Mus musculus: one gene and its partner. The protein of the gene in region 1 purifies or fractionates together with the protein of each later gene. This does not show direct contact. Links are inferred from orthologs where the notes say so. Each region holds a gene or a part of one and is shown in the gene's direction. Other genes may lie near its edges.

Region 1 (4,593 bases):
GCTGTGAGCCACCATGTGGTTGCTGGGAATTGAATTCAGGACCTCCAGAAGAGCAGTCAGTGCTCTTAACCTCTGAGCCATCTCTCCAGCCCCCTGCCACCATTTCTTACGAGTATAGAGACGAGTTTTAGTTGATTGACAGAAGCAGCCAACTCAATCAAGTTCAAACACAGGTTTTAAGCAGAAAGGAAGATTTTGCAGCTCACCTGGCATTGGCAAAGGAGAGCTAGGTTTGTGTCTCTGTGCACAGAACTTTCCTAGGACAGTCTTTTCCTCTTCCCCTCTTTTATTTATTTTTATTTTATCTTATTTTTTTCAAGACAGGGCTTCCTGGCTGTTCTGGAACTAGCTCCGTAGACCAGGCTGGCTTCAAACTCCATCTGCTTCTGACTCCCAAGCGCTTTAATTAAAGGCGTGCGCTGCCACCACCACCATGACCACCAAGCTCATCCCCCTCTCTTAAAAAAGACATTTTCACTTTATGTGTATGGGTGTTTTCCCTGCATGTATGTCCACGCACCACCACAAACACGTTCCGGAGGCCAGAAGGGGGCGACAGATCCCCCTGGACCCAGAATTGCAGGCGAGGGTGCTGCAAATCCAGCACAGATTCCCATAACCTCTAAACTATCTCTCCAGAAAGGCCCTTATATCTCCTGTTTTTTGGACACATGGTTTCCTGATGAAGCCAAGGAGACTGGACTGGAATTCATGAACGACCTGCTTCAGCTTCTCAAGGGCCGAGACTCTTTATACACGTACACTGACGACTGGACTCGTCTCTCCTGAGATTGCTTTCATTCATTCTCCAGATCTTGCAGGTGGAGGGAACACGATGCTAATAGGTGGCTTGTCTTTCAGTTCTCACAGAAAACTAAACTCATCAACAAGCAAGCCTAGTCCTCCCCCTTTAATCTCCTGGTCAAGGACCTTGCCTCTCCTACAAGTGTCCATTCCTGTATTACTGCAAGAGGCCTGGCCAACCCCCTGACCTCCAGGGCGATCCAACTTCGCAGGAAGGTGACTCAAGCTGGAACTTTTTTTTTTTTTTTTTTAAATGCAGGTGTTGGATATCCCATCCATCCAATGGTGAAATATCTAGCTGCCCCTTTTTGCACTAGGAACTTAAAAAAAAAAAGCCTGTAAAGTCTTTCCCTTGGCCACCATAAGATTGGCAGGGTGAGTGGCGAAGCCATGACACTCCTCCATCCCCCAGCTCGGTCCTCTAGTTTGGGAGACTGGCTGGACAAGGCCTGAGCTCCACTGGTTTGCTTCAGGCAGACTGAGCTGGACCACGCCCCTGACCCTCGGAGTTAGGCTCTCCCAAGGGTGAGGTCCAGGTCTCCCTTCATTCCGGGGCTTCAGTTCCGACGGGGAAGTATGCCCTAATCCTGACCGGTGGTGCTTCAGGTCGAAATGTCGGCCGCGGGACCAGGGTAGCTGACCCGCCCCGGCCGCCGTAAGCTTCACCCGCCCAAAGGGTTGAGCCGGTCCTTGAGCATGAGGTAGTAGGCGGGGCAGCGCCCTCTGGACCCGCCCCATGCGGAGTGGCCCAATGGAAGCGCACTGTGCCAGGTCCCGCCTACACGGGAGGGGCAGAACTGCGCAGGCTCCTGAAGCGCCCGGGCGGGCCGGCTGGCTGGGAAGATGGCGGCGGAAGCCCTGGTCAGCGGCGCCGCAGAGGAGCGGGCCCGGGGTGTCCCAAGTGTGCAGCTTAGGGCCAGCGCCGGGCCATGAGCGCGCCGCCATCGAACCCTCGAGCCGTGGAGCCCGCCTGCGCCCCTTGCCATGGCGCGGCTCGCGGACTACTTCGTGCTGGTGGCGTTCGGGCCGCACCCGCGCGGTGAGTCTCAGCGCCGAGGGGGACGAGCTGGGGGGGACTGAGGGACTGGGACTGAGGACTCGAAGCTAAGAAGACCCGGCCGGAGGCAGGGTCAGGAGTTGGGGCCGAGCTCTCGGGGCTCTCGAAAAGAGGCCTCCGTAGTTATTGGCCACGGTGGCGTCGGGGCAACCCGCGAGGACCCCGGACGACATGGCCTGTGTAAGAAACATCCCTCCTACACCTGGGCACCTGCGTCGCTGTTCCGAGGTGGGCAGGGGCGTGTCGCTCGGGCGTGGGAGGCTGGAGGACCCTGCTGCAGTTCGGTCTCCCCGATTCCAAGTTGGGTGGGATGGGCTCACCCCGCCTTGGCCGCCTGCCGGTGGCTGGGTCTGGGAATTTCAGAGAGGGGGGCGGAACGTTTTCGTCTTCCAGCTTCTCTGACCCAGTGCTAGGTCTGAAGCCTCAAGCACCGCTTGATGGGGTGCAGTGGAGGGGGAGGGGTTCGTCGGTGGTATGGAGCCGGACTTCAGACGAAAGTGTCACACTTGGAGGAGAGCATTCCTGGTGTTCAAGCCTCTAAGCCAGGCCCCTCAGCGGGGGATCAGTGTGGTGATCTAGGAGGCCCTGATCTGGAGTCAGCACCTGTGTCTGAGAGCCCTTCAGTCCTGGGGGTAGGAGAAAACGGAGCCTGACAGTGACATCAACCACAGCCATGGAGACAACAGTGTTGGGGGGTGTTGGCTGGAGTCCTCAGTGTGCCAGGCCCTGCACAACCCTTTGTGTGTATGATCTCATTTCTCCCAATAGCCCACTGAGATTGCCTTGCTGTTGCCCTATCTTCAGCATAGAATCTGGCATAGAGAAGTTGAGTGTGTGGGTCTGGAATGGAGGCTGGGACTTGTACTCTGGCTGTCAGAGTCCACCTGCAGAGGGGCGGTATCTTAGGGACAACTGTGGCCAGATGAGGTAGCCCCTTAATCCCTAGATGTAATGCTTCCTACCGTGTTCCAGTTATCTATTCCACACAGTTATTCTGCTGCTTCTCAGACCAGCTGTCACTGTCACCATTCAGGACCCAAACTTTCTTCTTTGCCTTTCTTCTTGCTAAGTCTCCACTAGGACTGTTCCTTTGTTTAATGTCCACATGATGGACCCTGTATGCACTGGAAAACACCACCACCACCACCACCACCACCACCACCACCTCTGTCTTCAGATCTGTTCAGTACCCTCGCTTCTTTCTGCTCTCATGTATTCAAGTCTATATCTTTTGGCACTCAGTCCCGAGCATCTGTCTTTCCCTCCAAAGAGGGAGTTCTCAAAGGCAGAGACCACATTGTGTTCATCCCCCTGTCCTCCTTGAGCAGGAGGCTTGCCACCAGTGTTGTACTGGCACACACAGGGAGAACCTGTGCTCCAAGGCATAAGTGAAGGCCAGTGAGGTGCCTCCTCTGGAACGGAGGAGGAGTACTGCTGGAGAGTGAGGAAACCAAGCTGGCTGAGGGCTGGCTGGGGTCTCGGGCTGGGCGCTGGGCCAGGGCTGGAGGAATGGAATGGACTTGGATGGTGGTGAGAAGGTTATGAAGAAGGTCCTGTGAAACAGAATGTAGGTAAAGGCCAGGTTGGGGAGGTCTGCTGGGAGTGGAGTAAAATTGAGGGTGATGTGTGGGTAGCTCCATGGGAAGTTGCTGTGGCACGTGGGGGCTTACTGATACAGCTGTACAAGAGGTGTGGACCTCTGACCTCTGTACAGGACGGGATAGAAGGCTGAGGCCAGAGGTGGCTACTTTTCCTGAATCACCGGTGTGATGGAGTAATTCTCAGATTACCCATCACTGTGGCGACTGCAGGCCAGTGAGCTCTCTAAGCACTGCCTTCTAGGGTCAGAGTTGACTGGTTGTTGGCTGACCACTCGGCTTCAAGGCATTCCTTTGAGGAACCAGCCTGGAATCGGGTTTCTGGGTGTGGGCTGAAGGCAGATCTATAAGGCAAGGGATGTGAGTACCAAGAACAAAAGACCCCAAACTGAGGAGCACACTGAAGATTAGTTGTCCTTCCTTTGTCACTCTTCACCGTTGGCTTGCGCCAGTTACCGTGCACTCTCGCCTCAGTTTCCCCGTCTTTATATGGAATGGGCCACATGGAGCTGCTCTGAGGCTGTCAGGAACACTTATGCGTAAAGATATAGCACAGGACTGGCCCAAGGAGATAATTTACATCTCAGATCTGAGTAGCCGATGTAAGAACGCTAGGTAGGTGTTTCTGAAGAAGGTGAAGGGCCCTCTGTGTGCTGACTGACCTAGGATGCAGGGTCCTTTAGATTAAGGGAATACGCGTGAGAGGATATCTCAGTTTTGTTCTGAATCAGAACTTTTTCTCTGCAGCTGCTAGGAGTCAAACCTTGGTAATGAATGCCTTTTTAGAGAGGTAGCATTCTGGTTGCTAATGGTTACAGTTGGTGACTTGTGGGCAAGGCTACAGACAATAAATGCCTGAGCTGTGTGTAACCCTTTCCCTTAAGACTCTATAAAGTAGAGGGTGTAGATGGCACAGCATAGACCCCGCACCTGGTGAGTAGGGCTGTGTGCTTTGTCCTGTCACTGAACTGGACACCTTTTTTAGAATGAGGAACCAGACAGCATAGTTTGAGACCCCTGCCCAGATCCCAGACATGGTCACTTAATTGCTTGTAGCTTGGGGAGTCCTCAAATGGGAACACCAATTATCAGACCCTTTACATGACTTAAACCTGACAGGTACCCTTCTACTAC
Region 2 (3,500 bases), on another chromosome or scaffold:
AGAGAGAGAGAAAGAGAGAGAGAAAGGGTAGGAGAGAGAGAGTAGAAAAGAAAAGACAGAAAGAGAGCTAGAGAAAGAAGGAGAGAAAGGAAAGAAAGAAAGAAAAAGAAAGAAAAGGTTTCTAACTTATTACTTTACAATGTGCAGATTAAAATAGGAGTTCTAACGTGTTCAACTGATAACAGAATAAACAAAGGTTTGCTATCTGTTATATGATAATAAATACTGATATACATTTTCTGGATTTTGTATACAGGTGCTATTTGCATTCAACTATAAAGAAAAGTTTCCAGTTAATGGCTGGAAAGTTTATGATCCAGTGTCTGAATATAAGAGACAGGTAGAGTATGCCACTTGTCAAATGGACTATGATAGCTTAAATGTCTGTACTAAAAGGTTAGATATGTAGTAGTGGAGATGAAGCTGTGCAACAAATTGTACATAGGCCTAGCTTTCAAGCTTGTTGGTTCCTGATTTCCTGGGTGCCCTCTTCTGCTGTGCCAGCCTTTGACTACATTGTTGTCTAGTCATCATTTTCCAGAGGGATTAGTAGGATGTGTGCACAAAGATTTGAAACTCAGATTTCTGAGGAACAAATCTCCCTCCCTCCCTCCCTTCCTCCCTCCCTTCCTCCCTCCCTTCTTCCCTCCCTTCCTCCCTCCCTTCCTCCCTCATTTATTTTCCTCCTTCCTCCCTTTCTGCTATTTTCTTATATGCCTTTTCTATCCCACTGTCTGTCATCTTCTTTCCTACCTTCTTTCCTCTCTCCTTCTCCACTCTGACTCCCAGGATTATGCACATACTAGGCAAGTACTCTCTTACTAAGCCATACCCTATCTGCTTCCAGATGTTTATATCATAGGTCTCATAAAGAATTGATGAATAAGAATCCAGAATGCCATTAATTTAATTTGAGGCACTATTAGTTAAATAACAATAAACAAGTTATAAATTAATAAACATGATTCATACTTTGTTTTTTTTTGTCAAAGTAGAGATGAGTGTTTCCCCTTCTTCCTTCTCTAACATCCTACAGGGCTTGCCAAATGAGAGTTGGAAAATATCAAAAATAAACAGTAATTATGAGTTCTGTGATACCTATCCTGCCATCATTGTTGTGCCAACTAGTGTGAAAGATGATGACCTTTCAAAAGTGGCAGCCTTTCGAGCGAAAGGCAGAGTCCCTGTGAGTAATAAACTTTGTCATTTAGACAGGAACAATCACAACATTGGATCTGATAACAAAATGGAAGGTAGAAAAATCAGCTTATAAACCTGACTATATCTTTGATTCTTAAGAAATACATCACTATATAAGCACTCATTTGATCTGTCTCTTGTATGTGTCCTATTTCTAAATGCAAAGGTTCCTCAAGGTTTGCCCTCAGGGTACAGCCAAGAGGAATAGAGGAATGACAAGAGTGGATGTGCTGGTGCACCACACCTCATCGGTTGCACCATTCACTCTGGAGAAGATACATTCTTTCTTCCCACTCTGTGAATTTTTGTAGCTACATGGGAATAAAATAATTGTGCCCAGAAGGAAGGGATAACTTTTGCTTAGAGTTTACATCTGAATTATTTTGTGTCCTTGGACCACTGTAGAAAAATGGGAGATCTGGTGATAGACTTATAGATTTGTTTTTAATAAGAGACCTCACCCTGCTTTTTATGTTATTGTAAAGATATAATTTTTATATTAGAAAGATATAAATGTAGCCAGTCAAATAGAAATGGGACTAGATTTTAGTAATAGTTTGACTTAAGTTTTATTTTATTTAGAGTGATAGAATTTCAAGGGCAGAAAGGAATTTTAGGGTATCTAGTCAAATTCTTTCAGCATGACCAACACATTAATTCTCTTAGTCACTACAGTACCAGGACTAGCTTATGCACTCATAACCGAGGAAACTCTCTAGGAGAGATTGTTCTTTTTAACCAATTAATTAGATAATATATTATATTAGGAATGATATCTATCAGCAAGTATTTATTATTTGTTGCTTTAAAACATTAGGTGTTGTCATGGATTCACCCAGAAAGTCAGGCAACAATTACACGTTGCAGCCAGCCATTAGTGGGTCCCAATGATAAACGCTGCAAAGAAGATGAGAAATACCTGCAGACAATAATGGATGCTAATGCACAGTCACATAAACTTACTATCTTTGATGCCAGACAAAACAGCGTTGCTGATACCAACAAGGTACATGTTTAATAGCCTTGTAGAAAATTTGGGGTTGGTTGTTTGCTTGCTTCATTGTTTGTTTTTACATGCTTTCTATAAGTCTTCATAGTTTTAGAACAGGCCATTGAATTCCTTGTCATGTGAATATTGAGTTTCTTTGATGTAGTGTGTGGCTATCTCTCCCTCTTTAGTATTCTATGGACAATGTTTGCCATCCTACATTGCTGGAATCTTGCCTTTTTCATTACTTCTCCACAGTTTAGTCTGATGGCTCAATTAAGCAAATTCCTAGAAAGAGAACTACATAAATTAATGTCTATTTTCGTGAAACAACCACAAGCCCTTGGAAGTCCCTCTAGTAAATTTACTGATAATTTAACCAATTCATATCTTTTAAAATATATTTCATGTATTACTTTCATATATTTTTAGAATGCACTTAGTTATATGAAAGTGCAGAAATATAAATTTTGCTGTCATCATTAATGACCTCTTGGCTTTCATCAACCCCCATGTTGTTCTCACTATTGAGCCAGGCCCTTGCTCTCTTTCATTGGTTCCACTTTCTTTGCTGAACTTCCAATGGTAGCATTACTTGAACTTGGTTTGGGGTCCCCTTTTTGGTTCTACAACAATCTCCCAAGGTCATCTACTCAGAGGCAGGACTTTAAACAATGTTTCTATGCTGAGTTACACATGGAAGTATCTCTAGCCCTGAAGGTAGCCCAAATCCCCATCCTATTTTATGTTTGACATCTCTACTTTGCTGTCTCCAGGGTCACAAAACCTCAGTGAACTCCAATCCACCTAAGAGAGACCTTTGGCTTAGACTTGGATACCCCTGAGTTTTGCTGCACCAGTTATTTAACCTGACCCACAAGATGAGAGATGATAGTAGTGCTTTGTGCCAACATCTGTGTGATGATTAGAACTAAGTGAGAACAGTACCTGTGAAGGCCTCTACACCCCCAGTACTCCATGCATAAAGCTACGGAGTCAGCCCCTTCTGTGGTCAGCAATGTTACCCAGGATTCTGACTTGAAGTCTAAGTTATGGTGTTGGTTACTAATATGGGAGAAAAATGGGGTAGGGAGGATAGCGGTTTCCTGAGGCTGCCCTTTAAACTATCACAAATCCAAAAACCTCATAAAGTTGTTCTCTTTCTAAAGGTTCCAAGAGAGAGTCTACTTTTTATCATCTCTAGAGTCTCATGGCCAAGCCAGCACTCCTGAGCTTGTAGCCACACCCTGCAATTTACCTCAATTTCACTTGGCTTCCTCAAGCTGTGTGTGTTTCTATATTTCTTCCTCCT

The links.
Region 2: the proteins of Sbf1 (region 1) and Mtmr1 purify together in Homo sapiens (affinity purification with mass spectrometry; 4 studies listed by BioGRID and IntAct, with this or other methods). This does not show direct contact. The link is inferred for Mus musculus from reciprocal best matches to the Homo sapiens genes SBF1 and MTMR1.

Annotation. Positions count from the first base shown.
Region 1 is NC_000081.6:89,312,312-89,316,904, reverse strand, and holds the start of Sbf1 (myotubularin-related protein 5), read left to right. Parts: upstream 1-1,593; 5' UTR 1,594-1,788; coding exon 1,789-1,843; intron 1,844-4,593. UniProt on the Homo sapiens protein: Acts as an adapter for the phosphatase MTMR2 to regulate MTMR2 catalytic activity and subcellular location. Promotes the exchange of GDP to GTP, converting inactive GDP-bound Rab proteins into their active GTP-bound form.
Region 2 is NC_000086.7:71,392,260-71,395,759, forward strand, and holds part of Mtmr1 (myotubularin-related protein 1), read left to right. Parts: intron 1-256; coding exon 257-340; intron 341-1,036; coding exon 1,037-1,186; intron 1,187-2,017; coding exon 2,018-2,206; intron 2,207-3,500. UniProt on the Homo sapiens protein: Lipid phosphatase that specifically dephosphorylates the D-3 position of phosphatidylinositol 3-phosphate, generating phosphatidylinositol. Could also dephosphorylate phosphatidylinositol 3,5-bisphosphate to produce phosphatidylinositol 5-phosphate.